4 linked regions of the Diceros bicornis minor genome follow. The protein of the gene in region 1 interacts with the protein of each later gene in a biochemical or structural test. Links are inferred from orthologs where the notes say so. Each region holds a gene or a part of one and is shown in the gene's direction. Other genes may lie near its edges. The genes, in order: HTT, PACSIN1, HAP1 and HIP1.

Region 1 (7,942 bases):
TTCTATAATAATTTTCAAATACAATGTCCAGTATACAGTTGAAGATAACCAGGCACATGAGATGAGGCAATATGAATGAGAATTGGCAGAAACTTCAGACATGAGAAACATATCCTCAGAGACTCTAGATAATGGAAATATATGAAAAACGGACTCTTAAACAACTATGTTTATTATGTTCAGGGAGAAAACTTGTAAAGCCTGATAATTTTGGCAGGGAACTACAAAATATAAAAAATGACACAGCATACTTTAGAAAGAGTTAAGTATAAATTCTTGTAGTGAAAACTACAAAATTTCAGGGCTTAATGGTTAAACAAGAGTTTAACAACAGTTGAATCAGCCAAAAAGAGAACTAGTAAAATAAGTCAGATGAAACAATCCAGAATAAAGCACTGAGAGGCAAAAAAAAAGGAAAATAGAAGATAGGATATGGTGAGAATATCTAATCTAGGTTTATCTGGAACACTAGGAAGAGAGAGGGTGAGTGGGACAGCAGCACTGTTGTGAGATAATGACTGAGAGGTTTCCAAAACATGAAAGCCATCAATCCACAAATTCAAAACCCAATTAATTCCAAGCAGATTAAATGAAAAGAAATCCTACTGTTAAACCAAGCCAGGAAACCCTGAACCACTCACGGTACAGGCATGAACTGGAGTTAACGAGAAGCTTAGAGGCAGAGGGTCATCAGAAGCAGCACTTGTCTCCCAAGCTCCCATCACCCCATGGAGAGTTGTGTTAGCTCCAGGCCCAGCTGGTCACACCACAGGCAGTACCCAGGAGAGGGACCTTGCTCCCTGTCACTCTGTGCATTTACAGCGGGACTGGAAGGGGACAGGTAGCACCTGGCCAATGTGCAGCAATGGTAGATTTGAGGCTGTGTGGAATGGCTCTGCTTGTGAAAAGAACATCCTGATGGCAGACGTCTGTCACCAGGGAAACGTGGTCCAGAACTTCCAGGACTGCTGTCTGCCAGCCCTTTGAGCCCTTCCTGCTGGGCAGCCTGCTGCTAGATCACTGAACAGGATCCCCAAGGTCATCCTCTGAAAAGCTGATTGGTCTCTCTCTACACACCCAGACATGGCACAGTGGAACTCCAGTCAGCCAAAGACAAAGGGAAAATCTTAAAAGCAGCCAGAGGAAAAAAAAGACACATTGCCTTCAAACAAAGGAGCAACCATTAAATCAACAAGTGACTTCTCAACCGCAGGAATGAAAAGCGGAGGACAGTGATGTCCAGATCTTTACTCTGCTGACAGCAAGCATCTGCCAACCTAGAATTCTACACCCAACTGAAAATCCAGTAAGAATGAAGGCAAAATAAAGACATTTTTATTTTATTTTGTAAGGAAGATTGGCCCTGAGCTAACACCTGCCAATCCTCCTTGTTTTGCTGAAGAAGACCGGCCCTGGGCTAACATCCGTGCCCATCTTCCTCTACTTTATATGGGACACTGCCACAGCACAGCTTGACAAGCAGTGCGTCGGTGCGTGCCCAGGATCCAAACTGGCGAACCCTGGGCCGCTGCAGTGGAGCGCGCGCACTTAGCCGCTTGTGCCACCCAAGACATTTTTAGATAAACTGAAACTGAGAGATTTCAGCAACAGAAGATCCAATAAAAAGAAATTCTAAAGGGTGTTTTCCAGGCAGAAGAAAATGATCCTAGGTGGAAAATCAGAGATGTAGGAAAGAATGAAGAGTAATAAAAATGGTAAATATGGGAGTCAATTTAAACTTTGTTCAAAACAACAATTACTATCTTTTGCAATATGTGTATTTATGTAGAACTACAATACGTGGCAATAATACCCTCTAAATTGGGAGGAACCCTCAGGGATGACCGGCAGGGGACCACCAAATCCCCCTCAGGAGCTGCCTGTCCACTCATCTTGTTCCCTGGCTCTGCTTCACGTTCCCTTCTTTCCCCTGCCCGGGCCTCACCTGCTGTGGACTCCCACCTGGTTTTGGATTCAGGGCAGTGCCAGCCCCCTAGCTGGAGTGTACCCCGTTTGTGGGGGGGCATCAGGCTGCTTTAAATATCTCCCTCTCGTCCTGAGCAGGACCACTCACAAGTCTATTGCTAGGCCTTCATTTTTAGCTCCCCACCCAAACCTTTTCTACAATATTTTTCCCCCTGAATAGTACATGTTCATTGCTGAAGACTTGAAAATGACAGATAAGCACACAGATTAAGATATAAATTCCCTGTAATTGCCCTGCCCAGAGACAGTCCCTGTTATAGACCTGGTGACAGGTCTCTTTTCTATGTATATGTGTGGTTTTCTTTCTTTAAAATAAAAGAGGGGGATCATGGTATACACAGTGTCATCTCTAATGCACTGCCCACCGTTCCCGTGTCGTGACTGCTCTTCAAAATAGGATTTTAATGACTGCACAGTTTTCTGTCATGTGGATATGTCATTATTCATTTAGCCATCTCTTTCCTTCCGTCCAGCATTTATGTTGTTCCCATTTTTTGTCCTACATGTTGCTGTGATGAATGACCACCCTCACACACACATGATTGTCTTCCTAGGGTAAGTTACTGGAAGTGTCTTTGCTGTTCAGGGACTGTGCCCATTTCTACGGCTTTGGAGAAACCAGGCCAAACTGCCCACCCAGCTGTGTAAATCTTTACTCTGTTTTGGATTATGCTAAGCTTTTCTCTGAATTTAAAAATCTGCCTTCTTGACAGTCCCTTTTCTATAAGGCTTTCTTATAAGACTTCTCATCAGGATTATTCCAGGCCCATGACTTTCTTCCTGCCATGGCTGAAGCAGCCATGACCTATTGTGGTCATATAAATTCTCAAGGATTCATAACCTCTTTGGACTGGTCAGAACTTGATTTAGGAGCATACAAACAGAATAATCCAAAGTAACAGTGGCTTAAACAACATAGAATTATATTTCTCTCTCACAGATTTTCATCTGTGAGAAGTTCAGAGGCAGACAGGCCAGGCTGGAATGGCATCTCCCCCCAGTCATCTGGGCCCTGGCTCCTTCCAGCTCCATTATCCTAGGATGTGGCTTACATCCTCATGACCCAAAATGACTGCTCGAGTGCCAACCTCTACATCCCCATTCCAGGCAGCAGGAAGAAGACAGTGTCTCTCTTCCGTTATAAGGAGACTTTTAGAACTAACACACATCATTTCTGCTTACCTCTCATCAGCAAGAACTTAGAAGCAGGCCACCAGGGACAGCCCACAGTCAGGGGGAGGGGACTACACAAGGTGTGAGAACCGGGAGGGGCAGTCTTAGCAGTCTGTGGACCCCAGCACCCGACAGCCTGGAGCCTGGCCATCACCATTGCGGCCTGCCCTGCACGAGGGCTGGCACACGGCCTGGCCCCAGGCAGAAGGGCCTTTATTAACGACAGGGCACTGGGACCTCAAGGCTGAAGGCAAGTTTCTCTGCAGTCCTTCCCCTGAAGTGGGGCTGTTGCCATCCTCCTGGGGACAACGCTTCTTGTGGGGATGCTGGGTTTCCGTTTACCTGACCGCTTTGGGACAACCGACAGGCTCTGAGAGAAGGCAGAGATGTGGCTTCTGGCATAGGACAGGGTGCAGCCCTGAGCAGGCTCTGGAGGGTCCATCACTACCCGCATCACCTCTCCCCAAGGCGGCTCTCTCCGAAGCCAACGCACTCTCTGCCCTGCAAGTGGGACAGCTGCCCCGGAGGCCCCCACCATCCTCTGTGCCCCTCTGCTTGCTCACTTACTTCCCCCCAGGTGGTGAGGCTCTGGAGACTGGACCCTCTCACTACCGGCCTGCCCTCCCATCCCCCGAGGCAGGAGATGCCCACAGAACTTTGTGGATCAGGGGTCCTCTCCCTTGCAGGGGAGACTCTTGGTCGGGGAGTCATTCTGGTGGGGGACGTCTCTGGGGTCAAAGCCGCTTCTCACTGCACAGCCACAGCCTCTCCGGGCACGGCGCCCGCCCCTCTCCTCCCCTCCCCCTCGGGCTGCAGACTGCGGGAGGTGCTGGCCCCCGGCCTCCACGGCCCCTCCTCTCTGGGGGCTACACGTGGGCTCCCGCCCCGAAGGACCAATCCCGCAGGTCTCCGCCAACCGTAGGGTCCTCTGGTTCTGTGCAGGGCGCACTCGCTTCCCCCTTCCTCCTCGCAAGGGGAGCCCGACCCGCTCCCCGCAGGGCTGTCCCGGTGAGGCCCTCTCTCGGCCCGGCCACTGGGTGGGCAGGCGCCCCCCGCGGGGGTCTCCAGGCTCCAGGCCCACGGCCGGCCCTCCCTGCGACCCCGGGCGTCGGCCGGGGCTCCTGCCGAGGGGGGCGCTTCTTTCGAGGGGTGCTCCTTCCCGAGGAGGGGGCACCTTCCCCACCGCGCCTCGACCCTCACCCCCTCAGCGTCGCGCCTGTTGCCTGTAGCTTCCCTCCCTCTTCATTCTCAAGCCGCCTGGCCCCCCACCTCCCAGCAGCGTCTGCTTCCCAGCCGCTCACCGCCGGGCCCCGCCCCCACCGCCGGGCCCCGCCCCTCACAGGGCCCCCCCCCGCCCCGCCCCTTACCGCCGCGCCCCGCCCCCACCGCCGGGCTCCGCCCCTCCCCTTACCGCCGTGCCCCGCCCCCACCGCCGTGCCCCGCCCCTCACAGCAGGGCGCCGCCCCTCACCGCCGGGCCCCTCCCCCACCACCGGGCTCCGCCCCGCCCCCACCGCCGGGCTCCGCCCCGCCCCGCCCCTCACAGCAGGGCCCCGCCCCCGCCGCCGGGCCCCGCCGCGCGCCGTGCTCTCGCCAGGGAGGAACGCTGTGATTTCAGCGTCCGCGGCGGCTTCGGGAGGCGGGCCGGCGCCGCGTCCGGCCATTGGTGGAGGCTGCCGCCTCTGGCTGTCAATCCCGCCGGTCCGGCCTGGCCCCGCCCCGCCGGCGAGTCGTCGCGGGACGCACGACAGCGGGTGCTGCCGGGACGGGTCCAAGATGGCCGAGCGCTTGGGTTCCTCCCCTGCTTGCGGCCCTGGGTCTCATTCATTGCCGCGCTGCTGAGCGGCGCCGTCAGCGGGCCCGTGGGCTCCGGAGGCTGTCCCCGTGGGGCGGGAGGCCGCCATGGCAACCCTGGAGAAGTTGATGAAGGCCTTCGAGTCCCTCAAGTCCTTCCAGCAGCAGCAGCAGCAGCAGCAGCAGCATACCCCGCCGCCTCAGCCCCCTCAGCCGCCGCCGCAGGCGCAGCCGCCGCCGCCTCAGCCGCCGCCGCCTCAGCCGCAGCCGCCGCCGCTGCCGCCGCCCGTCCCAGCCGCGGCCGAGGAGCCGCTGCACCGACCGTGAGTGCGGGCCCCTGCACTCCCCACCCGGCGACCGCCGGGGACAGCGGCGGCCCTGCAGACCCGGCCCCGCGGCGACACGGCCACCCCGCGGCCCCGAGCGCAGGGAGGGCACACGCTGGGCACGCCCCTCCCGCTGCGAGAGCCGGTCCCGTGTCCCTCCCCGGCGCCTCGCGGGTCTCGTTCCTTCTCGGGCAGGCACTGCCTCGCTGGCCCTCCTGACGCCACCGAGGCGGTCTCGGCCCCTGTCCTCTGCCTTCCCCGGCAGGCGAAGTTGGGGAAGGAACATGCTGCTTTATGTTTGCAAGAAACTGGGGCTGTGTTGTGAGCAGAAGTTGGAAGAGCCGAGAGCGCGTCTCGTTTGGCTTCCTCTGGGCCTCTTCCTTTCCCTCTCTTAGTTGAGAGGGAGGAGGGCTGGGGGCGCAGGACGCTTCGCGAGGAGCCAGGAATTGGAGCTGGAGTGATGTGGGGATAGTGCATGACATCATGGCTTTAGGACGTGGGGCTGGGAGGGCGGGGGCGTGCGGACGCGGCCCAATGGAGATTCTTTTTCCAGGGGCCCTTTAAACAGCCTGTGACATTCGCAAGACATTTCATTTAGTTCGGGAATGCCAGTGGTAGCAACAGGATTTTAAGCATCGGGAAGAGACCCGCTTGTCTAAGCTCAAGCTGGTATGCGAGCACTTGAATGAGTTGTGGTTGCCAAGTGCATAAGTGGTGAGCTACTTAGACGGTTATTATTAACAAGTGAGAAATAATAAAATTGACTTAGATATTAGGAAGAGTTGACTGAAGTTTTTTGCCTATTTTCAGTTGGAAATAAAAACGACCCATGGCTGAGGGGGAGGTTAATTGCTGGAGGGTGAAGGATGTGCATTTCACCAGTGCAGTACTGTAGTCCAGCTTGCTGGAACGTGGGTGTCTGCAGACCCCGGGGACGTCTGTTTCCTTCGTTGCTGACATTCTGGCATTGTTTGGAAGCTAGGGGTCTCTGTGGCTTGTGCCTGGGAGAATTTTTGAAACAGAAGAAACCATGAATAGCACCTTCTAACAGGACCCAAGTACTTTTCCCTGAAGTCTTGGTGTGCTGAGTGTTCAGCAGAGATTAGGCCTTTCTCTCATCTCAGGGCATTTTATTTCTGATCTGGGGATGTACAAGATGGCATTTAATGAGGATAGTTTTCAAGAAGCAACCCCTTTAAGAAACTCACTCTATTAAAACTGATTCATTTTTAGTAATGTTTTCTTGTTCTTTGTGTTTCTGATACGATCTTTGCTGTGTCCTGAGAGTTTAATTAAAAAATGAGAATTTGAGGAGTAATGTTGGCTTATCTGTTGGAGTAAAATTCAGAAATAAATTAATTTTTCTTGTAAGAGGAAAAACCTGTTTGGATACGTAGAGGTTTTTTTTTTTTTAGGAATTGGACTTATCTTTACAGCAGGTAATTTATAATCATAACCCATTCCAGACTTTTATTGTACTGCGTCTGCAGGAGGTGGATGTCATGGAAGTTCACACATTGCATGGATTTTGTGTAGATTACACGGGGAAGCACTAAGCAGGGCTCTGTGGGAAGGAAGAGCTAACTGTTGTCACTGGTGGCTTGTTCAAACACTTGGTCAATCTAAAAATATGCCTTCTGTTTCTTATGCTGATTTGAGAGAACCTGAATTTGCTCATCTTCAAAATATGGGTATAAAGAAGTTTCTTTCTAAAGCCAGCTTGACAAAGTAGATTGATTTTGTTTCTTTACTTTAGTTTATGGTAATGTATGATGGACTTATTTTAAAAATTTAATCTATTATTTTTGCATAAGTAATACATTAACATGATACAAATTCCAAAATTACAAAAAGGTAATAATTAAAATCTCTCTCCCCCACTCCTTTCTCCTGAGTACCTAACTCTGTTCCCAGAGGCAAGCACTGTTATACTTCCCCCTTTTGTCTCCTTCTGGATATAATCTGTGCATAAGTGAAGATAGATTTTAAATTATTTAAAAACAAAAGTATTTCAGAATAGTAACTTTTAAAAGTTCTTAGCATGCTCTGAAATAAACTGCATTAGGCTTAATTATAGTGACTTTAAATAAAATACACAAATATATTTTTATGTACTTTGCTGTTGAGAAAATAGATATTCATTAATTTTGAGTAACAAACTCACTGCTTACATGTTTGGATCTTGGCATTTCTGTTCAGATGCTTCAGCTGAAAAATCCGTTCCCCAAAGTAAGATTGGCCAAAAGCAATTTAGATAGTATCTGTTCTATTTTTATGGCTCTTGCTCTCTGTTGTGTGAAAGTGTAGTGTTATAGCCATGTGTGGGCTTCAGCTGAAGTATCTGAGTGCCTGCTCTCGGCTCAGCATATAGAGTGCAGGGCTTCTGGTGGGACTGGCATGCAGGGGAGTGCCAGAGCTTGGGAGGGTCCTAACTGTGATTATGAGTCAGTTGACATTTGTCTTTGGCACTTTCTCATTCTCCTTCAGATTCCGACCTAGTTTTCCCCTGACTTTAGTTATTCACTCGTCAGTAAATATTTGTTGAACATCTAATATGTGCAGGCTCTGCCCTCGTGAAGCTTTCATTTTAGTGAGGGACATAGACAACAAACAAGATAGATACCAGTATGTTAGATGGTGGTAAATGAAGGAGGAACAGCAAAG
Region 2 (7,857 bases), on another chromosome or scaffold:
ACAAATGGTGAACTCTGCCCACGACCATGTCTTCAGTATGAAAGATTATTATTAGTGAACCACACTTCTCTATTGCTCAAGACACAGGAATTAAAAACCAAACCAAAACACAAAATCTCTGTGGGATGTTGAACTCGACCCTCGCCATTGTCTCAGATGTTCTGCCTGCATTTAAGGTACAGCGCCACTAGGTGGCAATGGTGTCCAGGCCACTGAGGCCTTTCCAGAGCAGACACTCTAAGGACAACCTCAAATGTCCTCCCTTTTTGTACTTTGAGAGGCGTCACCAAAGGACCCACTGAGCCTCAGTTTCCTCATCTGTAAAATGGGGGTAATGGTACTAAATGAGATCATGTAAAATCCTCCTGTGCACAGTACGACTCTCAGTAAACACGTGCTTCTTTCCTAGCTGAGTGATCAAGAGCATGCCTTTCAGACCCAGACTGCTTGGTTTTGAATCCCAGCTCCACTACTTACCAGCTGTGTGACCTTGGGCAAGTTACCTAACCTCTCTGGGCCTTAGTTTCCCTGTCTTAAACAGGACTAGTAGTCGTACCTAGCCCCATAGCTTATATGTGTAAAGTGCTTAGAAAGTGCCTGGTCCAAGAAAAGTGCTCTGGGTTTGCCATTGTCTGTGTATGTCCTGGGGTGACCCGTCTTTTGAGCATAGTCTGGGTCCTAACTCAGCACCTCCCAAGATTGAGGGCCTTGTCAGGATGATATGTCCTCAGGGTGTTTTTAACCCCCTTGGCATGAGTCACGGACAGAGAAAGCCACAATTCCCAGACTCGGAGCACCCAGGTCTCTGGATTCAGGGCACAGCTGGCAACAGCCTCTGTCCACTAGGCAGGCGACGGAGACCAGTTTGCAAGTGTGACGCCAGCAGGTGGGAAGAGGAGAGAGCAGAAGGGGCTGCGAGGCTGTTTTTAAAGTACCTTTGTCTCTTGGGGGTGTCCTACTCACCTCTGTGCATGCTGCTGGGGGGCAGCTCAGAAAACAAAATGCCATGGGGCCCCTGGGCCAATCGCTTCCCTGCTCATCCTTCCCCACCTCGGGGCAGGTTTGCGGGGGAAGTAGAGGAGTCTAGTGACCACAGCACCTGACCAGAAGTCAGGAGATCCGTTTTTAGCCCAGCTCTGTCACCAACGCACTGTGTGACCTTGAACGAGTCACTTTTCCTCTCTGGGCTTCAGAGTCCTGCTTTGCCCAAATCAGGACACACTCCCTGCCCTTCCTTTCCAACCAGAGATGTGGTGAGAATAGAGAAGCCTCAAAACCTCACCTCCTCCTTGAAGCCTTCCATATCAGATGGAACAAAAGGGAATCCAAAGCTTCCCTTCCTCCCTCCACCTCTTCCAGGCTAAACATGAGATATTAATCACCAATCCGCTATTTGATCATTGATTGATTGATTCCACGTGCTCCTTCAGGGCTGGGCTGTCCTCCTGTCTACATGTCCTTTCTGTCCTGTCTGCATAGGACAGAAGGGGAGGGCTGTGTCTGCCTCCTTGCTCTGCGTGACACGGAGAGTCCAGCAGAGGAGGCTTCCGATCGAAGGATGGCTTGGGACTCTCGGTGGGAAGGAAGGTGCCGTGGAATCCCAGATGGGTCAGAACTTAATGGTACTGAGAAAAGCGAGTTGTTGGAGATAAGAGATGTGAAAAGTGCTGGGCAAATGGGAGAAAGTCTTATTGTCTGGACGGGGCACAAAACAATAAGGGGGGTATTTAGCTTTGATAGACATAAGTTTTGAAATCAGAAAATCTAGATGGAAGCTAGTTTAGTTTTAGGAAGCATGGAAGTTCTGTGTCAATTTCCATAATAACATATGACATATTTTTTGGATTACACATGGGCAGGGATGTGAGGGGGGATGTGTTTGCGTGTGTGTGTATTTTCCACTCTCTTTTTTTTTCAGGGCTTGGGTCTGGTAAGGCCTTAATTCAATGCCAGGCATACCTCAGCTTCGAATGGAGTAAGTCCAGCTTTCTGCTCCCTCACCCCCTCTCCCCACCACCCTGCCCCCTCACCATCATCTGCCTCAACGGGTCTGCCCCTCTCCTGCCCTCCCCACAGCTGCCCCAAGCGGTCCCAGCTTCTGTGACCCTCCAGCCTCTCTTAGCCCTCCGCATTATGAGCCCATCCCCTGTACGCCTGTACCCTTCCCACTCTTGCCATCCTCCACCAAGGCCTGGCTGCCAAGGGACACCTAGTGTCCTATGTCAGTCATTGTCTTGTGATCTGGACTTCACTGCCTTTCCAAAATTTACCAGTCCCGGGCTCCAATCCATCTACATCACAGCCCCTGATGACACATTGAGCCAGGCTAATGTACTGCGGCGGGGGGTGGTGCAGATATTTTAGTCTATCCATCCTAGATTGCACTTTAAGAGCCTCTTGGGGAATTAGCCTCTTCACATTAAGAAAATTCTGTCTAATGGGAATTTCACAGCGCTGTGGTAGACCAAAAGGGGAGAGATTGGGGGTGCATGTAGTTAATGAGAATAATAGATACTATTTACTGCACACCTATTAGGTTCCAGGCACCATGCTAGGGGCCTTGCATCCTTTGTCTGATTCCAAGAACCCTAGGAGGCAAGCGTAATTATCACCATAAATACAATAAATACAACAAAATGAACTGGGTACTTATGTGCTAAGCAGTTCACCTGGGTTGTCTTGTGTAACACTCACACAGCCTGTGAGGTACGTGCTGTTGCCATTCCATTTTCCAAATGCACAGATCGATTAAGGAACTTGTCACACAATTATTAAGATAAGGAGGCTGAACCTCAGAGGGGGTAAGTAACATACCCACTTTTACCCAGCAAACAAGCAACTGCGTGAAGTCGATGTTTTTCCTCCCGTATGCCCATCACTTCTCCTCCTGGGGCAATGCGAAATTCCAGGTTGAGGTGAGGGCAGCTGGCACCAGCAACTTCCGGGGTGGGGAAAGAGGGGGACACCAATTCGACAGCTCGACACCAGCATGCCCCTTACATGGAGGGTGTCCAGAAATGCTCCAGGACCCCAGTCCCAGCCACCTGCCAAACGTCCCCTGGCTTTGCTGGCCTCTCCCAGTAATCCTTCCCTGCCTCCTGCCCCATCTGGCTCATCAGAACCCCAGCTAGGGCCGGCCCTGTTGCTTGACGGTTGAGTGCACGCACTCCGCTGCTGGCGGCCCGGGTTCAGATCCCGGGCGCGCACCAACGCACCGCTTTTCCGGCCGTGCTGGGGCTGCGTCCCACGTACAGCAACTAGAAGGATGTGCAGCTATGACATACAACTATCTACTGGGGCTTTGGGGGAAAAAATAAATAAATAAAATTGAAAAAAAAATTAAAAAAAAAAAAAGAACCCCAGCTATTGTTCAGCATCCCCATCAGAATGATGCCTCCTCCAGGAAGCCTTCCCGGATGACCCTAACCCAGAGCCCTCTGACCTTCTCTGGAACACTGACCACTCGCTTGGCTGTCCTGTTCATCCTTGGGGTAGATACTGTCATCTGGCCTCCCCAACTAGGTGTCGAGTTCCTCTGGGCTCTAACACCTAGTATGCAGTCAGTGTTCGGCAAATGCTTATTGAGTGAATAAATGCTGCACTTGGGCATTCTCTTGGGTCACTGGGACCATGAATTTCAGTGCCTCCGGTGAGGGAGGAGGGAGAGGGAGGGCAGGAAATATAAACGTGTGACCAGCCTAGGTGCCAACAATAGGGAGTGGTGAGGTCTGTGGCCGGCTAGTCTGCACATCTACCTGAGGGGCTTACCATCAAATTCAGCCACCCTCACTCCCCACAAATAGCTGGGACCTAATCTCGCCCTGACCACCCTCACTTTCTTGTCTTTTTTCTACCTTTATTTTCCCACTCTGTGCAGACCACTTTAAAATATCCTCTCTATGTTATTTATTATATTTAACATCTGCGTTCTCTCACCAACGTGAACTAGGTGAGGGCAGAGACTTGGTCTGTTTTGTACTCTGCTGTAGCCCAGCCCCTCCCCAGTGCCGGCACATAGTAGGCCCTCAACAGACGAGTGTTGAACAAATCATCAGCTCCTGGCAGGTTTCTGCAGTGAAGAGACTGGCCTACTCCCCCCTGCAGGGTACAGGCTCCCAGAAGCGCTCAGGGTTCAAGGCGGGAAGAGTGAAGGCCGTGGGGAGTCACAACAAGCCCCCCAGAGAGCCTCAAGGAGATGGCCTGGAGTCTGTCTTGGTGACAGCAGGTCCAGCTGGAACTAGGGCAGGAGGGTTAGTGAATGCCCCCATGGGGTCAATCGGGCACTTCTGGACGAAGCTAATGGGGGGGGCTAGGCGGGGGGTGGTAGTGGTGGAGAGGGACCGTCACTCCAGAGCACGCCCACACACACGCAACCGCACGGACCCGAAGATGCAGGATTAGGAGAGGCCAGAAAGCGACTGACGGACAGACAAGGCCGGAGGAATGTCCAAGAAGGCGGCGAGAGGGCAGAGAGGGGAGGGGAGCGGCACCCCCGGGTCCACAGCGCGCTGCAGGAGGGCTGGGGAGGAGGGCGCAGGGCAGGTGATTCTGCACCCGCCCGCCGCAGAGCCCCTCTGCCCTCCGGGAGCACCTCCCAGAGGAGGGCGCGGGCCTGGGAGCTGGGGGAGCGCCCCCTCCGCCCCGCACCCCCGCCCGGCGCCTGCCAAGCGGGTTGCTGCCTCCTCAGCCGCCGCGGCGCGTCCACCTGCGCAGACACGCGCCTCCCTGCGCCCGCTGCCATTGGCTGGCTAAAAATGCCTCTCTAATCTGCGCGCATCTGTGCACGCCTCCTTCCTCCTCCTCTCCCCCTCCTCCCCGGCTCTGACCTTCCTCCTTCCCGCAGCCCCGGCGCGAGCCGGAGAGACGCGGTGGCGGCGGCCGCTGCACAGCCTCCTCTGCCCGCGGGAAGTCGTCCGGGCTTGAGGCCGGGCCCCAGACGCCCCGCTTTGCCCCGTGGCGCCGCCGATGGTGCCGGGCGCTCCTGCCCCCAGGTAGGGGGTCTGGCCCTGGATAGAAGGCGGGGAGGAAGGGGTCCAGTTAGGGAGTGCGTGTTCGCGGTGGGCGCAGAGGCTGACATCTTCCCTGCCGGAGCGTCGGGGTTGTGGGGGAGATTGGACAGTTACCTGGAGAGAGGTGAGCGCGCCAGGGCATGCTCAGCCTCTGGGTCCTCATAGCGAGTTCTGAGCAAATCTCATGACTCCTTCGTGTGGAGGTGCAAACCCAGGCCCGAGGTGCTTTGCAAGCGCCGGGGTTCTCGGGCATCACCCGGGCTGTGCCAGGATGCCCCTGCTCTGGGCCCTTGGGAGAGGGAGCTGGCGGCGGAGGCTTTTACCCTGGGGAAAACGCAGGAAATAGGTTCCTTGGGAAGCTGGGACCCAGGACCTGGGGGTCCGAGTCTCTGGCCTGGGGTGTTCCGGTAGCAGCAGGGCGGGTGGGCTGGCGCCAGCTTGGTGCGTAGGCTATTTATGGATCAGAGTGGGCTGGGGAGAAACCCAGCAGCTGATGCGCTCTGTCCCCTGTCTGGTTTACAATTAAAGATATTTCTTCTGTTCCTCTACCCCTTCCCCCACAGCTGGGATGGGAGCGGTGAGAGGAGAAGGAGGTGACGCTACGCGGCCCCCAGACACAGCAGAAGCCGTGGTCTGTCTGGCATTGCCCTCCTCTCTACCCCCCAGGCCCCTCGCTGCCTGTTGGAGCTATCTCTCTCCCTTATTTCTCCCTTGCAGGAGGCGGTGAAAAGCTTAAAAGGTCATCAGGGTGTGAGCGACACAGTGGCAAACCCCAGGGCTTGGCCAGACTCAGCTTCAAGCCCCAGCTCCTCCCACCCCCCACCCTGCTCTGCACCCCACGTGCAGTGACACATGTGGCCGCTTTTCTCTGGGCACAACCATAAATAACCCACATTGCCCTGGCTCTGGCACAGCGGGGTGCAAACAGAACTGTCTGTCAATGATTTGGGAGGTTCTGTCCCTTACCTGCTTGGCCTTCCCATCACATCACTGGTCCAAATCATCACTCACAAGCCACCCCCTCCAGGCAGCTTCCCTGATAGCCCAGGTGAGATCCTTGCCTCCTGCCCTGCCTTCTCCCACCTAGTCTGCCTGTGGTTTGGTTATTTATGTCTTGTCTGTCGCCCTCTAGACCTGAAGTGCCTTCAGGGTAGGAATCTGTCTGATTCATCTCTGCCATTGACCCTGCACCTGACCAGGGTCTGGCACCAAGTAAATGTTTGCGGAATGAGTGAATGAATGAACTTGAACTGTGGGAAATAGCTGGCAACCTGAAGGATGGGGCTGAGCCCCCTCTTGGGCTTTTCTTCCGCACCCCAAGACCAAAGAGCCACCAAAAACAGTCCCATTTAGGCCCTTCCTGGACCTGGAACTCACGGGCACCTGTGGCATTTGGAGGTAAACGCCGCAGTCCCGATGGCTCCACACCGTCTTTTTGGGCCCCTGGTCTGAGTGCCCTGGCCTGGTCCAGGCTTGGCGGAAGGCCCCAGGTGAAGCTGTGGCTTTCCTCAGGCCTCTGGGTTGGCGCTTTCTCCCTGGCTCAGCTCAGATCAGGGGTCTCTGTCTCTGTGCAGACCTTGGGGAAGTGCAGGTCAGCCTCAGGGAGTCTGGGAAGGCCTGAGCCAGGGCATGCTCAGCCTCTGGGTCCTCATAGCGAGTTCTGAGCAAATCACATGACTCCGTGTGGAGGTGCAAACCCAGGCCAGAAGAGGCTGCCACCGCAGGTCCTGGGTCTGTGCCAGATGTGGACATTTGCAGAGCTCTCTCCCAGCCCGAGCTGATAGGACATCTGCAAGATGCTCTTGTCCTCGTCTTACAGAGAGCCAGGGCGGCACTCAGTTCCTGGCTCCAGGTCCAGCGCTCCAGGTCCAGCTCGAGGGTGCTACGGCTGGGCCACAGACCCAGGTCAGAGTGCCTGGTTGTCCTAGAACCCAGCGGTCCCTCCTCTCTGGCTCTGGCCTCGCCCCTAGTGCTGGAGAGACTCAGGGATAAGGGAGAGGTGCCTCAGGGGTGGAGGGAGGCGGGTGGGGGAGGCTTTAGTTAGTGCCTGCAGGTAGTTGGCCCTGGGGGCCTTGAGGGCAGGGAGCAGTCCTGACAGTACAAGCTAACAGTCCGCAGCAGTTGTCATGTGCCAGCTCCTGTTCCCACTATTTTTCATGTATTAACTCATTCAGTCCTCACAGTAGCCCAGTGAGGTATGTACTGTTATTGCACCCACTTTATAAATGAGGAGTCCGAGGCACAGAGAGGTTATCTATCCAAGGTCACACAGTTTGGAAGCGGAGGGGCTAGGATTTGAACCCAGGCTCCAGAGTCCATGTTCTTAACCTGTATTCCCTATCGCAAGAGCAAGAGGGCTATCGACCTAGCTGCTGGGGGCTTGCTGTCTCCGTGGAGATTGAGGCTTCAGGTACTCTGTGCTAAAGTTCCTGCACGGTAGTATGTGCGTGATTAAGTGTGACTGTGACCGGTAGTATGTGCGTGATTAAGTGTGACTGTGACCGTTGTGGATGCTCAGAATAATAACACCCATATCAATGGGTATCCTTGAGCAGGAGAGTGGTCTTTATAAGATGCACATCTGAGTCTGTCACTCTCCTGCTCTGCATCCTTCAATGGCTCCCCCTTGCCCTGAGGACAAAGTGCAGTCTCCCTAAAGTGTCCCTGCCGCTGTCCCCAAGCCTGGGCTTCCTCTCCCTTCTCACCCGCCCTCTGCCCTCCAGCTGCTCTGAACTGCTTTCAGTTCCTCCAATAAGTTATGCTTCTGACACCTGCAGGCCTTTGCATAGGCTGTTCGCCTGCCTAGAACACTCTCCCCCCTCTTCCCTACACGTTCCTTTTCACCCTC
Region 3 (7,124 bases), on another chromosome or scaffold:
AGTGGTGATGGTTGCACAACTCTGTGAATATACCAAAAACCACTGACTGGACACTTTAAAATCATGAATTTTATGGTATGTGAATTATATCTCAATAAAGTTGTTAATTTTTTTTTAATAATTTTATTTATTTATTTTTTCCCCCAAAGCCCCAGTAGATAGTTGTATGTCATAGGTGCACATCCTTCTAGTTGCTGTATGTGGGACGCGGCCTCAGCATGGCCGGAGAAGCGGTACGTCGGTGTGCCCCCGGGATCTGAACCCAGGCCACCAGCAGAGGAGGGCGCACACTTAACCGCTAAGCCACCGGGCCGGCCCAAAGTTGTTAATTTTTTAATAATTTTTTCTTTTTGTGAGGAAGACCAGCCCTCAGCTAACATCCATGCCAATCCTCCTCTTTTTGCTGAGGAAGACTGGCCCTGAGCTAACATCTATAGCCAATCTTCCTCCTTTTTTTTTTCCCTTTTTCTCCCCAAAGCCCCAGTAGATAGCTGTATGTCATAGTTGCACATCCTTCTAGTTGCTGTATGTGGGACGCGGCCTCAGCATGGCGGGACAAGTGGTGCGTCAGCGCGCGCCTGGGATCCGAACCTGGGCCGCCAGTAGCAGAGCGCGCGCACTTAACCGCTAAGCCACGGGGCCGGCCCAATTTTTCAAAAAGACTTATAAGGTTGTTATGGACTAAATGTTTGTGTCCCCCCACCCCACCCCAAATCATATGCTGAAATCCTAATCCCCAGTGTGATGGTATTAGGACGTGGGGCCTTGGGGAGGTGATTAGGTCATGAGGGTGGAGCCTCATGAACGGGAATTGTGGCCATATAAAAGAGGCCCCCGAGAGCTCCCTCACCCCTTCCTCCACGTGAGGACACAAGGGGAAGACAAGACAACAGTCTATGAACCAGGAAGCAGGTCCTCACCAGACACCCAATCTGCTGGCATCTTGATCTTGGACTTCCAGCCTCCAGAGCTGTGAGAAATAAATTTCTGTTGTTGGTATTTTGTTATAGCAGTCTGAAGGGACTAAGACACCCCCCCTCCATCTGTCTATTCTCAGCCGAACAGCCAGAGCCTTCCTGCTAAAACTTAAGTCAGATCGTGTCGCTCCTGTGATGAAAAGCCCTCCACGGACTCAGGTAAGGTGGTCCATCGGCCCTGCTGCCCCCTTCCTGACCCCATCACCCACAATCCCGTCTCCTTGTTCCATTTTAGCCATTTTGACCTCCTCTGGCTGCAAGGCTGTGCATTTGCTGTTGCTTCTCACCAGGTGAATATCCTCCCTTGCTCCCTCCCTCCCTCAGCTCTGGACTTAGTGACTCTTCAGTGAGATCTTTCCTGACCCCCCTAATATTTAAACTTGCAACCCACAGCCCACCCCCCACCCCCAGGCCCTCCTCCCTGCTTTCTTTTAATCCACAGCACTCGTCACATCTAATACACTATGTGATTTACTCCTTTGTTTATTATTTGTAGCTCCCATTGCATGTGGGCCCTATGAGGCCAAAGATCTTTGTTTTGCTCACTGATGTGTTCCCAGCACCTGCCACAATGCCTGGCACCAGGTGCTTAATAACTGTTTGTTGAATGAATAATTATTGGAAGATAATTTAGGGGGCCGAGAAGAGTTGAGATGAAAGAAGAAATGAAGCTAACAAATATTAAAGTTGCTAAAGATTAGAACCATAAAAAAGGGCAGCATGTGAAAAGCATAGAGAGCAGCTGTGGATCTTAGACGTCCCATCTGTTTATCCAAGGCCTCTGGCCTGAGCCACCCTTAACCACCTGGCAGAAGTGCCCTGGAGCCTGTATGGGAGGAGGAGCAGAAGAGGGAGCAGGGGTCAGGGTGGGCAAGGGTTGGGAGGAGTTTGAGTTCCCCAGGGGAGCCACTTCCTTATTTCCCTGCCCATGAGGGGGCTGCATTTGGAGCCCTGACTTCAGAAACCACGTAACTAGTGAGCACTGCCCCTTTGATAGAGAGGTGAATCCCTGCAGGGCTGATGCAGGTGTGAGGGATTTAGGGCTGGGGAGGCGAATTGGTACCAGGGTTCGCTCACCAATCAGGAATGAGAAACGCTGGCTCCTGAGGAGAGAGGCTGCCATTTGAGGGGGGCAGGGATGAGTGGGCTGCGAAGACCGAAGACCGGGGGTGTGGGCTGAGATGCAAAATCCTATGCCATTAGTGATTTCTCCCCTCCCACCCAGAGCACCGGGTCTGATGGGTACTTTCCATTTTTCTCAACGGTAGCTCCCTGTTTGCTTCTCTCAGAGAACGCACCACACTCTGTAATTATCTTGTTTCCTTGTTTATCTGCTTCCCCTTCTAGGCTCTAACCTCCAGGACAGTAGGGGTCTGGTTCTCTTGTTTCCTGCTCTGGCCTGCGAGTCTAGGACAGTGCCTGGTATAGAGAGGAGGCACTTAATATACGTTTGTCAAATGAATTAACGAGCTCAGACAGACGGAAACATTCTTCTCCAAGTGCTTCTCCATAGGAGAGCTGGTGGAGGGGGCACTTTGATTCTCCTTCCTGGGTTGTGTCTCTTGTTCTGTGCTGTCACGGACACCTGGCCCCAAAGGCATGCTGTCAGCACTAGGACCCTCTGTCCTAGGTGCAGACCTTGGGCAACAGCCTGTCCTGGGCTCAGGCTTGGAGTGGTGGCTGTGGAGAAGGGGTCCTGGAATTCCTTAGCTCAGACAGGAGTATGAGAGGGATGGACTAGAGATGGATTCACGTGGGTGGGGTTGGGGGGAGAGGTGAGTATCACAATAATCTAGAAGAGAGGATGAGGCCTCACCAGCAGAAGGGCTGAAGAGGCAAGGGCACATTTGAGAAATATTTAGGAGGTAAATTAAGCATGACTTGGTGAGTGATTGGGTATTGAAGAGAAGGAAACTGGGGGACCGAGAATGATCCCAAGGCTTTAAAAGACTCAGAGCCACAGCCATCTCTTTTTGGCCTGTAGGTTCCTCCAGTCCAAAGGCACAGAAATGGCTACTGGACTCCTCTGCCAGCCCACAGGTCATGCAGGACTTACGGCGACCCTCGTAGGTATCTGGTCTGTGCTGCGCTCCGATGGACACGCTCCCTGCGGTGAAGGGTGGCAGTCTGCTCTTGGAGACAAACACACTCCGACCACTGCCGGCCAGCGAATAAGGAATGCTCTGGCGCGTGGGAGACGGGGTCAGAGGAGTCTTCTCAGGGAGACATCTAAGCGGGGTCTGCCGGAAGAACACGTGTTCCCCAGGATGGAAGGAAGTGGGCAAAGTGAATGAGGGCTGGAGGTGAAGCAGGAGGAAAGGCAGTAAGACAAATAAATAAGAAAGGGGGCTGTCGGGGCGGCCCCGTGGCATAGCGGTCAAGTTTGCGCGCTCCGCTTTGGCGGCCGGGGGTTCGCAGGCCCTGAACCCGGCGCCGACCCACGCACCGCTCATTAAGCCATGTTGTGGCAGCATCCCATATAAAGTAGAGGAAGATGGGCATGGATGTTAGCTCACGGCCAATCTTCCTCACAAAAAAAAAAAGGGGGGGGGGACTGCCCAGTGGCTCCAGCGCGCGGGGGTGGGGGTGGGGGTGGGGGTGGGGGTCGGTGTCAGGCTGAGCGCGAGGATCAGCTTGTGACGCGCCAGGCCAGGCAGCGCGTGGAAACCGAACAGGAGTTTGGATTGATCCCTCAGCCAAGGGGAAAGACACAATACTGTCCTAACTCACAGGTCACCCCGGCCCAGACCCAGAGAAGGCAGTCAAAAACCCCTGCAAGGGAGCAGAGGGAGAGGGTGCCCCCAGTTAGGGACCTCCGAGTCGCTGTACCCGAATCCCGGAGAAGCGGCTTTGGGCAAAACCATTCTCCGGAGGTGGAGAGGGGAGGAAAAGCCCTACACTCGGAACCCAAGCCCACGGAACCAGCTGGAACCTTCACTGGCCTCTTCTCCTCGCTCTTCTCTTGTTTTTACCCTCTGCTCTGCCACCATTAGCTGCCCTCCTGCGCTACCCCCCGTCCCGGGCACCACTAGTTGCTCCTCGGCCGCCCCTCCCGCGCGTGGTAAGGCCCGGCGGGCGCGCGCTCCCGGCACAGGTTATAAAGGCCCGGCTGCGGCAGCCGACTGCGGAGCAAGATGCGCCCGAAAGACTGTGGGCAGAGCTGCGCTGGGGACCGGCCGGGCCCAGGACCCGGGGATCCGGCAGCAGCCACCCCCGCACTGCCACCCGCAGCCAGTCCCGCTCCTGAGCCCTCCGCCGAGCCTGAAGCCGCTCCTGCGCACGCAGCGGCGGCTGGACAAGGAGCAGGATCTGGATCCCCATCCGTCTCGGGACCCCCAGCCGGAGTTCGCTTGGCCTCCGAGGCTGGATCGGAGGCAGGATCCCAGCGCGCATCTGCATTCTCGGCCGTCCAGGGGAATGCCCAGTCCGTGCCCGGCGACTCGGATGTGCCATGGACCCACTTCATATTTCAAGGGCCCTTTGGTCCCCGGGCCACTGGCCTGGGCACTGGAAAGGCGGCGGACATCTGGAAGACGCCAGCTGCCTACATTGGCCGGCGGCCGGGGGTGTCGGGCCCCGAGCGTGCCGCCTTTATTCGGGAGCTAGAGGAAGGTAAACCGAGTCCTCTGGACCCCGAAGCGAGTGGGACTAGGGCAGCTCCAGGGAGGAGGGGGCCCCGTCGGGTCCAGGTGCCCCGCTCCCCCGACACTCAGTCCCACCCCTCCACCCGCCCTCGCCGTGTCACTGTCTGCGGTGCCAGTCCGGTCGCCTCTTCCCCATCTCCTCTTCCCTTCTCTCGCTCCCTGATTTCTGTGGGTGGGTCAGGTGCCCGGGCCCGCGCGCTCCCTCGGCCCGCTCTGCGCGCCTGTTGCTGCGGTAGATCTGAGCACTCTCAGGGCCCCCCTCCTCAGTCTACCGCAGTGCCAGGAGCGGGGCGGGGGGCTGCGGGAGGGCGCTGCCCGGCGCGCTCTGAGCCTGCGCTGGCCCACCGCGCCCGCGATGGGGAGGTGTGTGGGAGGAGGGGGGGGGTTGCCAGCCTATTGGAGGCGGGGGTCAAGGTCGGCTTTTCCCCAGCCTGGGGTTGGGCGGGGCCTCAGGCGGAGTCTGCCCCTCCTCTTCCCTCCCATCCTCTTCTGGGAGATCTCTGGATTGGGTCTAGAGGCTCAGGTGCCCCTATTCCAGTGCTGGAGAAGTCTCTAACTCCTCTCCTCCCCACATGCAACAGGTGCAGGGTGGGAGACTGCGTCTGTGTTTATGATCCGTGAGGCTCCGATGAGCTGGCCAAGCTGCCCTCTGGGTAGCTGGTGATGAGTCAGTCTGTGGTACTTCCGCCAGCCACCTCCATTCTCCTGGGTTCCACGGACCCAGGCGTCCTGAGAGCGCAGTTCCGCCTGAGCCTGGAGGACTGTGATCTCCTTACCTCACCCAGCTCCTCCAGAAAAAAAATGAGTCCAGTTGGCCCTGGGAGCAGGGAAGGGAGTGCTGAGTACTAGGGGTATGGAGAGGATATTGGGGGCAGGAAGGGAACTCAGTCTTCTCCTCCCCTGTTGCTGACTCTCACTGTTGAGGGAGAACTGGGGATAGGGCAGGAAACAGTGGGGTACTGGTTAGTGTATGCCCCCTTTCTCCTGACCTGGCTGCCTGCTTTCTCTTGCAGTGCTGTGTCCTGACCGACCCCCGCCAGGCAAGAAGATCAGCCAAGAAGATGTGCAAGTGATGTTAAATCTGCTCGAGGAGGTCTGTACTGCCTGGCCTACCTGGACCAGCCTGAGCTTTCGCCAGGCCCCTGTTTTAATTCTGTCCTGTAGGAGTAGGAGTCTTGTCTGTTTCCTGCCTGGCTGCCTCTTTGGGGGCCCCTCTTACAGAAGGCAGGTCGATGTGGGATGTCCAGGCTGGAAGAGCTCTTAGAGCCCTCTGGTCTGATCTGTTCTTTTTTCATAAGGGGAAACTGAGTCAGGCCCCACAGTGGGTTAACGGCGGACTCTTGTCTAGTACCCTGGAGAGCTGCGAGATGGTGAGGGTTCCCCCTAGTGGCCTAGCTTCCCTCTGACGCCTGTGTACTCCCTAGCTTCTCCCACCTGTCTGGGAGATCTCAGAAACCAGGAAAGTATTCCCTGTGGATGGGGGGGTCCCTCTGCAGAGAGAGCGGGACCTGAATACGGCAGCTCGCATCGGCCAGTCCCTGGTGAAGCAGAACAATGTTCTGATGGAGGAGAACAGCAAGCTGGAAGCCATGCTGGGCTCAGCCAGGGAGGAGGTAACTGGGTAGGGAGTAGGGGGTAGGGGTATGCCATCTCAGACCTACCTACATCCCCCTCCTGCCAGGACCCGTGCCTGCCCCGCCCGCGGCCTGACCTGGGGCTCCTCTCCCCCTGCCAGATTTTACACCTCAGACACCAGGTGAGCTTGCGGGATGACCTCCTTCAGCTCTACTCAGACTCTGATGATGAGGAGGAAGAGGAGGAGGAGGAGGAGGAAGAAGAAGAAGAGGAGGAAGAGGAAGAGGAGGAGGAAGAGGAGGAGGAAGAGGAAGAGCAGCAGAGTGATCTTCCTTATGAAGACCCCGAGCTGTGAGTGCCCTGCCTTTGCACCTGAGCGGCCCCTTCTCTGAGCCTCAGTTTCCTTGTTTGCAAATAGGGACACAGACAGCGTCCCTGCCAGCAGGATTGCTGGGGCTGGTTGAGACCACCATGCTCAGCCCGGGTGGGGGAGCCCTGGGTGCACCGGGCCCTGGGGCTCCCAGTCCTGCCCTCTGACTCCCATCGCTCTCTCCCCTAGGACACCTCTGACGGAGTCGGAGTCGCTGCACCACTGCCCACAGCTGGAAGCCCTGCAGGAGCAGCTGAGGCTGCTGGAGGAGGAGAATGACCAGCTGAGAGAGGAGGTGAGGATGGGGGAGGAGGGTGCGCCCGCGGGCAGGGGGTGTTGACTCCCCTGCCCCTTCCTCTCTCCCTTCCTCCAGGCCTCTCAGCTCGATGCCCTTGAGGAGGAGGAGCAGATGCTCATTCTGGATTGTGTGGAGCAGTTTTGTACGTGAAATTGTAACTTGGGGTGGGGGCTGTCCCAGGGAGCAGAGGGAAGAACTCAGGTCTTGGAGACCTGAGTTCAAGTCCAGTCCCACCTCTGGCACTTCCTAGCTGTGTGAGC
Region 4 (6,919 bases), on another chromosome or scaffold:
CATAAAACTTCTAGAAGAAAATGTAGGCAGTATACTCTTTGACATTGGTCTCAGCAGCATATTTTTGAAACCACATCTACTCAGGCAAGGGAAACAAAGGAAAAAATAAACAAATAGGACTACATCAGACTAAAAAGCTTCTGCAAGACAAAGGAAACCATGAACAAAATGAAAAGACAACCCACCAACTGGGAGAAAATATTTACAAATCATATATCCGACAAGGGGTTAATTTCCAAAATATATAAAGAACTCATACAACTCAACTACAACAACAACAAAACAACCTGATCAAAAAACGGGCAGAGGATATGAACAGACATTTTTCCAAAGAAGATACACAGATGGCCAATAGGCACGTGAAAAGATGTTCAACATCACTAATTATTAGGGAAATGCAAATCAAAACTACAATGAGATAACACCTCATACCCAACAGAATGGCTATAACTAACAAGACAAGAAATAACAAACATTGGAGAGGGTGTGGAGAAAAGAGAACCCTCATACACTGCTGGTGGGAATGCAAACTGGTGCTGCCACTATGGAAAACAGTATGGAGATTTCTCAAAAAGTTAAAAATAGAAATACCATATGATCCAGGTATCCCACTACTGGGTATTTATTCAAAGAACATGAAATCAACAATACAAAGAGATCCATGCAGCTCTATGTTCATTGCAGTGTTATTCACAACAGCCAAGATGTGGAAGCAACCCAAGTGCCTATCAACTGTTAAATGGATACAGAAGATGTGGTATATATATACAATGGAATACTACTCAGCCATAAAAAAAGACCAAACGGTCTCATTTGCAACAACATGGATGGACCATGAGGGTATTATGTTAAGTGAAATAAGCCAGGCAGAGAAAGACAAATACCATATGATTTCAATCATATGTGGAAGATAAACACATGGATAAAGAGAACAGATTAGTGGTTACCAGAGGGGAAGAGGGTAGGGTGGTGGGCAAAAGGGGTAAAGGGGCACACATGTATGGTGACAGATAAAAACTAGACTCTTGGTGGTGAGCACGATGCAGTCTATACAGAGACTGATATATAATAATGTACACCTGAAATTACACAATGTTATAAACCAATATGACCTCAATAGAATAATTTTAAAAAATGTATACCTGGCATAATCTAAATACAAGTCCTTTTTTGGATGAATGTTTTGGAAATATCTTTCCCAGTCTGTGCCTTCCTTTTCATTTTCATAGCATTCTTTCGAAGAGCAAAGAGAAGTCCTATTTATTGATTTTTCCCTCTTTTATACTTCATGCTTTGGGTGTTGTATTTGAGAAACCTTTCCCAAACCCAAGGTCACTAAGATTTTCTCTTATAAGTTTTATAGTATTAGTTTTTACACTTTGGTCTATGATCCATTTTCAGTTAGTTTTTGTATATGGTGTGAGGAAAAGATTGAGGTTCTTTTTTTTTTTTGGCACATGAATATCCAATTGTTCTAGCACCATTTGCTGAAAAGATTATCTTTCTTCCATTGCATTGCCTGCACCTTTGTGGAAAATCACTTGACTATATATCTGTGGGTCTGTCTCTGTGGGTTTCCCAGAGATCAGGATTCCACGTCTGAAAACCGGGCATCCTGAGAAGGCATAAGACAAATGGTCCCTAAATTGCTGGGAGAGATGTAAGAGCTGAAAGAAGCTAGCAGAGTCCTGTAGTTTACATCCTGGAGGAGGGTTTCTCTCAACCCTTGGCAAAGGGTTTTGCTGCTGCAGCAAGTGAGAAATCCTTATTTTTCTTTATTGCTGAGTTTCACAGAGGTAACTAGCTTGAGTCTTTCTCCACAGGGTGTCTCCAAACCACAAATTCCTGATTCCTACTGGGGTTTATTCTAATAAGGAGTAGGCTGATCCCTTAATCCCTGTTTAAAGGGCCCCTGTTTATTGCAGCTATAAACTCTGGGCAAAGGATCATAAATCACTCTTTAGTTGGGTCCAGAGCATGAGGTGGGGGCAGGACTAAGAATGGGCACACAGAGGTAATATTATGATGAACCCTGTCTGTTTTCCCTGTAGGTATAGTCCTGTGAGCTCCTGGGCTGGGAACTTCCAAGGGCTGCTCCAGATCCAGCCTCCACTCGGCTCTGTGCCTGGAAGGAGGGGTGGGGGTAGTACTAACGGATCGTCCTTGCCCTCCTTCCCCCTGGGTTCGGCCAATGGGAGGCACTAGTAGGAAATCAGAGGACGGGAGGGATAGAGAGAGATTGGGCTCTTCCAGTGACTGGGTTTCTACCTAAAGCCACGGCTCTTGTCGGGTGCCTCCTCTCCCAAGACTAGAGCTCGCACCTGGTTCCGGTAAGCGCCCTCCCCGTGTCCCTTCAGGGCTAGGGCTGGTAACAGCTTCCCACTGTTCTATCCCCGGGTGCTTCACCCTCCCTGGCTGATCCCCTTATTCCAGGTTACAATTTTGCACATAGTTCCTTTCTCAATTCAATTAGCCCTTCCAGGGTGCAATCCCTCCCCCGCTGCTGCTCCGACTCATACAACATCACAGCCCCTAAACACCCCGAAACGCGGCCCTCAGTTCCAGTAATGGTGAAACCAGTGTGCTTGCTATGCAAATGAAGTCTCAAGGCAATTTCCCCTCCATCACATTGCCACCCTTCAATCCTTCCTCTCCAGAAGTTCCGGCCCCACCGCTGCCTCCTCCCTCCGCCTATTTCCCTTTGTCTGGGCCTCCTCACAGAACCGCCCACAGGAGGAAACTTTCTCCTCTCCATTCCGGGGTAGGCCCTCTCGGTCTCTCACGTACTGCTGGAGTCTCCCCGAAGAGTCCCTCCCTGCCCTTTCGCCCCGCAATGCCGTCCACACAATGCCAGCCCGGCAAAGCGCAGGTCTGTGCAAAAGCCTGCAGTAGCTCCGTAGCGCCTGCAAAGGCCCGCCCCCTCTTTCACTTCTGTGTTGAATGTGTGAACTTTTATAAAAAGCTCTTAGTTTAAATATTTTTAATGCCTTTCTTTGAGTTTCAAAGCATTTTTTTAACATGAAAATTTAATGGAAAACGTCTAACTTTCTTCAGCATCTCCGCTAGGGATCACACTTCCCTCCAGCTGACATCTGAGCAGGATGGGAGGGGTAGCCCGGAGCCGTGGATAAACAAAGTATCCACAGGGGTTTCCACCAACGAACACGTTCTGGCCGGGTCAAGATGATGTAGGGTTTGGAAAGAAGATGCCAGGAGGTTCCCACTGACCCGGCCCAGCGCTCCCGGGTGTGTGAGGATTACAAAGCGGATGGACAGGGACTCAGCGCAGGGTCAGGCTGAGGGAGGAGGCAGGTGAGCTGGGTAGGGGGCCGCCACCCACGGCGCCAGGTCGGGCAGACGCTGGCCCTTCCTACGGGAGCCGGGCCTGGGCGCAGCGCTTCCCGGGGCTCCGGCCGCCGAGCCGGTCCATCCCGCCCTCTCTCGTCCCCGACCCGAAAAGCGTAGACAGGCCATTCCCGGGCGGGTCCGGGTCCCCCGCGGGAGGCCCGACTCCGCGGCCAGCGTGACCCTCGCGCACCGCGCCGGGACCTCGCAGCGCCCCCGGCAGCAGCAGCGCGTGGCTCGCGGGGAAGCGCCGGGCGCGGGCGGGCGCGGTGGCAGGGGCGGCGAGGGCAGGTCAGGGCAGCCCTAGGCCCCACCCCCGCAGGGGGCCGCGGACCGGTGATGGACAGGCCTCCGGGCCGGTCGCTGCGCGCCTCGCGGTCCCGAGGGCCCAGCCGGGCGGAGCGCGCCGCGGGGCGGGGCGGGGCGGGGCGGGGGCGGGGGCGTCTCTGGGAGGGGCGGGGCCTAGGGAGAGTAGCGGCGCTCCCAGCCAATGGGAGGCAGGGGCCGTCCCGTTAGCGCCGGATCCCAGCGGGTGGGGCGGGCCGGGCGGCTCCGTGGGGATCCCGGGGCGGCCGAGGGCCGCGACTCGGATCCGCGCGGCGACATGGACCGGATGGCCAGTTCCATGAAGCAGGTGCCCAACCCCCTGCCCAAGGTGCTGAGTCGGCGCGGGGCGGGCGCGGGGGTGGAGGCGGCCGAACGGGAGAGCTTCGAGCGGACTCAGGTGAGGACCGGGGGACCGCGGGGCTTGCACGGCTAGGGCACCCCGAGAGATGCAGCGTCCGGGAGGGGCTTTGAAGGGAGTAAGGGTCTTGCAGGCCCAAGGGAGGACGGGGCAGGGGGGCCGAGAGAGGGAGCCTCTGGCGCGCAGGTCGAGGCGATCCCGGGAAGGTCGGGGACCCGGGCATCCCAGCTGGTCTGGGGAAAAGGGCAGGGCGGCCCCGAGGAACGGCACGATCCGGGCGGCCCGGCCCAGGGTGGCTGGTCCCGGCGGCACAGGGCAGGTGAGAGGGGAAGGCACCGAAAAGGGACCGAATGGAAGGGGAAGCGTACTGGGGGGCCGCTCGGAGACGCAAGTGTGGCGGCGGAGAGTGGGGCGCTGGTTTGGGGATGTGAAGGATGGGGAGCCCTTTTCTCCCCTCGCGATCGCTTCTCGGTTGCACTGGCATCCCCCCACCCCGAGCACCGCCTTCCCGGTGCCTCTTGCTTGGCACACAGCATCCCAGCTGTCGGCCTCCCCGGGCCGGGCCAAAGGGGTCTGAGCGGTGAGAAGGAATGTAGGAATGCGAAGTGTGGACGAGCTTGGAAAATGACTGGGGACTGGAGGAGGGGGCCGGCCAGGGGCAGGAATTGACGCGCTTGGCCCCACCGTCCGCCACTGGTCAGGACGGGCTGCCCAGAGGTGCCGGGAGCCCCAACTTGGGGTTTTGGTTTCATCCCCCAAGATATGCCTGACGGCTAATAGGCAGACTGCCCTGTTTGTCCAGCCAGGGCTGGGGGCCAAAATTCCTCAGTGTCATCAACAAAAAGCCACAATCCATTTTTACCTCAGAGTTTTAATGCCTGGTGTATTGATTTGACTGAATAAAGCTGACATGTTTCTGGTGTTCATCAGCTCTTTGTATGCAAAGTTCATTTTAAATGGCATAGCACTTCTCTTAATTCTAGTGCCCAGGTCATGGGGGCAGGCTCGTTCTCTGCTCTCGCTCTCAGAGTGGGACCTTTGGAGACCCTGCTGGGCCACCACTGCCAGCGCTGGTTCCCCTGCTGCGTTCTCCTTCTTCCCCCAAACACAGTACCACGTGAGGGAAGGGCTTTGGGGTTTTGGATAGGAAAGACTGTGAGGACCCGAGTGTTCTAAATATGGAGCTTACGGAGGATAAAGCTTTTCACCCCCAGGGAACTTCATCCTCTTCTTTCCAGGTGCCTGTGGCCCATCTGGTTACAAGGGTGTCTGGGTGATGTAAAGTGGGGAGTGTTCTCTCCCTGGATCATCCTACTCCAGGCAGGATGGGAGAGATGGCCTTTCACTTCTGCCTCCCAGGGTCCAGCTGGGTTTGAGGCTTATTCTCTGGCTTTGTGGCCTGGACCACTGAAAAGAAGGAAGCTTTCCTTCTGCCTGTCCACCACGGGTGTTACTGCCTCGACTAGCTGCCTGGTCACACGAGGCTTCTTGCTCCAGAAAACAGTGTGAATGTTCTTCTTTTTTTAATGGAAAAGAAAAATAAATAGGTGTTATTTTATAACCCATTCCTTCTAGAGTCTCAAATAAGTAAAAACTGGAGCAATAGAGAAATACACATAAAGCTTTGACCCATTGTAGTGATGGAAATTAGGTTTGTGACAGTTTCCACTCATGACTGGCATATCCCCTCACTATCCAGGGATAGCTGAACAAGGAGAGTCTAGGTCAGTGTTTTCCAGTGTTTTGCTTTCTGTGGGACACTTGTAATTGGCCAGATTTGATCTAGTGGCTTGTGTGTGGGGGGGGTGAGGAGGTAAACTGGATCAGGAAAAGACAGTGTTTCTATTGTTGACACTGTTAGAGGGTAGAAGAGTGAAGAAAAAGAAAAGAGAACCATCCTGAAACTTAGCTTTAGTCAACCTGCAAAAATTTAGTTTAATGACTATCTATCAAATGTATTATAAGATATAAAAATGAGTTAGAAAATTTTAATGAGGTAAGAGACCATGAGAGTCAGCCAAGGTAGAATGATAATTGTAACTAATTATTAGGTTTGGCACTGTTCTAATTACTTTATTGTTTTACCTTCTTTAATCTCCACAAGGACTGATGAGGTGGGTGTCAGCCACATTTTACTTTAAGAAACTAGAGGCACAGAGAGGTTAAGTGACTTGCCCAAGGTCACACAGCTGGAAGTGGTCCCAACCTTTAACCACTGTCTGTCTTGTGTTGCCTCTGAGTGTTGGGCAGAGCACTGGCATTGGAGTTGGAAGAGGTTGGTGAGTTTTACAGCTGGGCACGTGGATAGGCTGAGTAGCCTCAGGCAAATTGTCTAACCTTTTTTTTTTTTTATAATTTTATTTTATTTATGTTTTTCCCCCAAAGCCCCAGTAGATAGTTGTATGTCATAGTTGCACATCCTTCTAGTTGCTGTATGTGGGACGCGGCCTCAGCATGGCCGGAGAAGCGGTGCGTCGGTGCAGGCCCGGGAGCCCAACCCGGGCCGCCAGCAGCGGAGCGCATGCACTTACCCGCTAAGCCACAGGGGCCGGCCCTGTCTAACCTTTCTAAGCCTCAGTTTCCTTATTGTAAAATAAAGATAATACTCACCTGGCAGGTTTATTGTGGGAATTAAATAATAGACGTGAAGGCATTTTGTAAACTGTGGAGCACTATTTCAATGATGATTGCTGTAACGTGATTGGGGAGCTGAGACCTAAGAAGGCACAGGTGTGGGTAATCGTGCAGCCTCTGACTAACTCCAGTCAAGGGCCAGGAGTGTCCCTAGGTAACGGGATAATTACCAGGAGGTTGGAGCCCTCACCCCAGGACTGCGCCCCCCCCCCCTGAGGGCAACGTGTCTGGTTCTGGCGTGTGTGCCCCACACCT

Evidence for each region.
Region 2: the proteins of HTT (region 1) and PACSIN1 form a complex in vitro, tested with the Homo sapiens proteins (2 studies listed by BioGRID and IntAct). The link is inferred for Diceros bicornis minor from reciprocal best matches to the Homo sapiens genes HTT and PACSIN1.
Region 3: the proteins of HTT (region 1) and HAP1 form a complex in vitro, tested with the Homo sapiens proteins (4 studies listed by BioGRID). The link is inferred for Diceros bicornis minor from reciprocal best matches to the Homo sapiens genes HTT and HAP1.
Region 4: the proteins of HTT (region 1) and HIP1 form a complex in vitro, tested with the Homo sapiens proteins (2 studies listed by BioGRID). The link is inferred for Diceros bicornis minor from reciprocal best matches to the Homo sapiens genes HTT and HIP1.

What each region holds. Positions count from the first base shown.
Region 1 is NC_080747.1:2,405,882-2,413,823, forward strand, and holds the start of HTT (huntingtin), read left to right. Parts: upstream 1-4,936; 5' UTR 4,937-5,060; coding exon 5,061-5,275; intron 5,276-7,942.
Region 2 is NC_080753.1:30,148,448-30,156,304, reverse strand, and holds the start of PACSIN1 (protein kinase C and casein kinase substrate in neurons protein 1), read left to right. Parts: upstream 1-4,852; 5' UTR 4,853-4,991; intron 4,992-7,857. UniProt on the Homo sapiens protein: Plays a role in the reorganization of the microtubule cytoskeleton via its interaction with MAPT; this decreases microtubule stability and inhibits MAPT-induced microtubule polymerization.
Region 3 is NC_080757.1:41,022,954-41,030,077, reverse strand, and holds the start of HAP1 (huntingtin-associated protein 1), read left to right. Parts: upstream 1-4,111; coding exon 4,112-4,589; intron 4,590-5,634; coding exon 5,635-5,714; intron 5,715-6,045; coding exon 6,046-6,234; intron 6,235-6,356; coding exon 6,357-6,547; intron 6,548-6,755; coding exon 6,756-6,861; intron 6,862-6,939; coding exon 6,940-7,006; intron 7,007-7,124. UniProt on the Homo sapiens protein: Originally identified as neuronal protein that specifically associates with HTT/huntingtin and the binding is enhanced by an expanded polyglutamine repeat within HTT possibly affecting HAP1 interaction properties.
Region 4 is NC_080765.1:3,064,032-3,070,950, reverse strand, and holds the start of HIP1 (huntingtin-interacting protein 1), read left to right. Parts: upstream 1-3,914; 5' UTR 3,915-3,949; coding exon 3,950-4,069; intron 4,070-6,919. UniProt on the Homo sapiens protein: Plays a role in clathrin-mediated endocytosis and trafficking. Involved in regulating AMPA receptor trafficking in the central nervous system in an NMDA-dependent manner. Regulates presynaptic nerve terminal activity.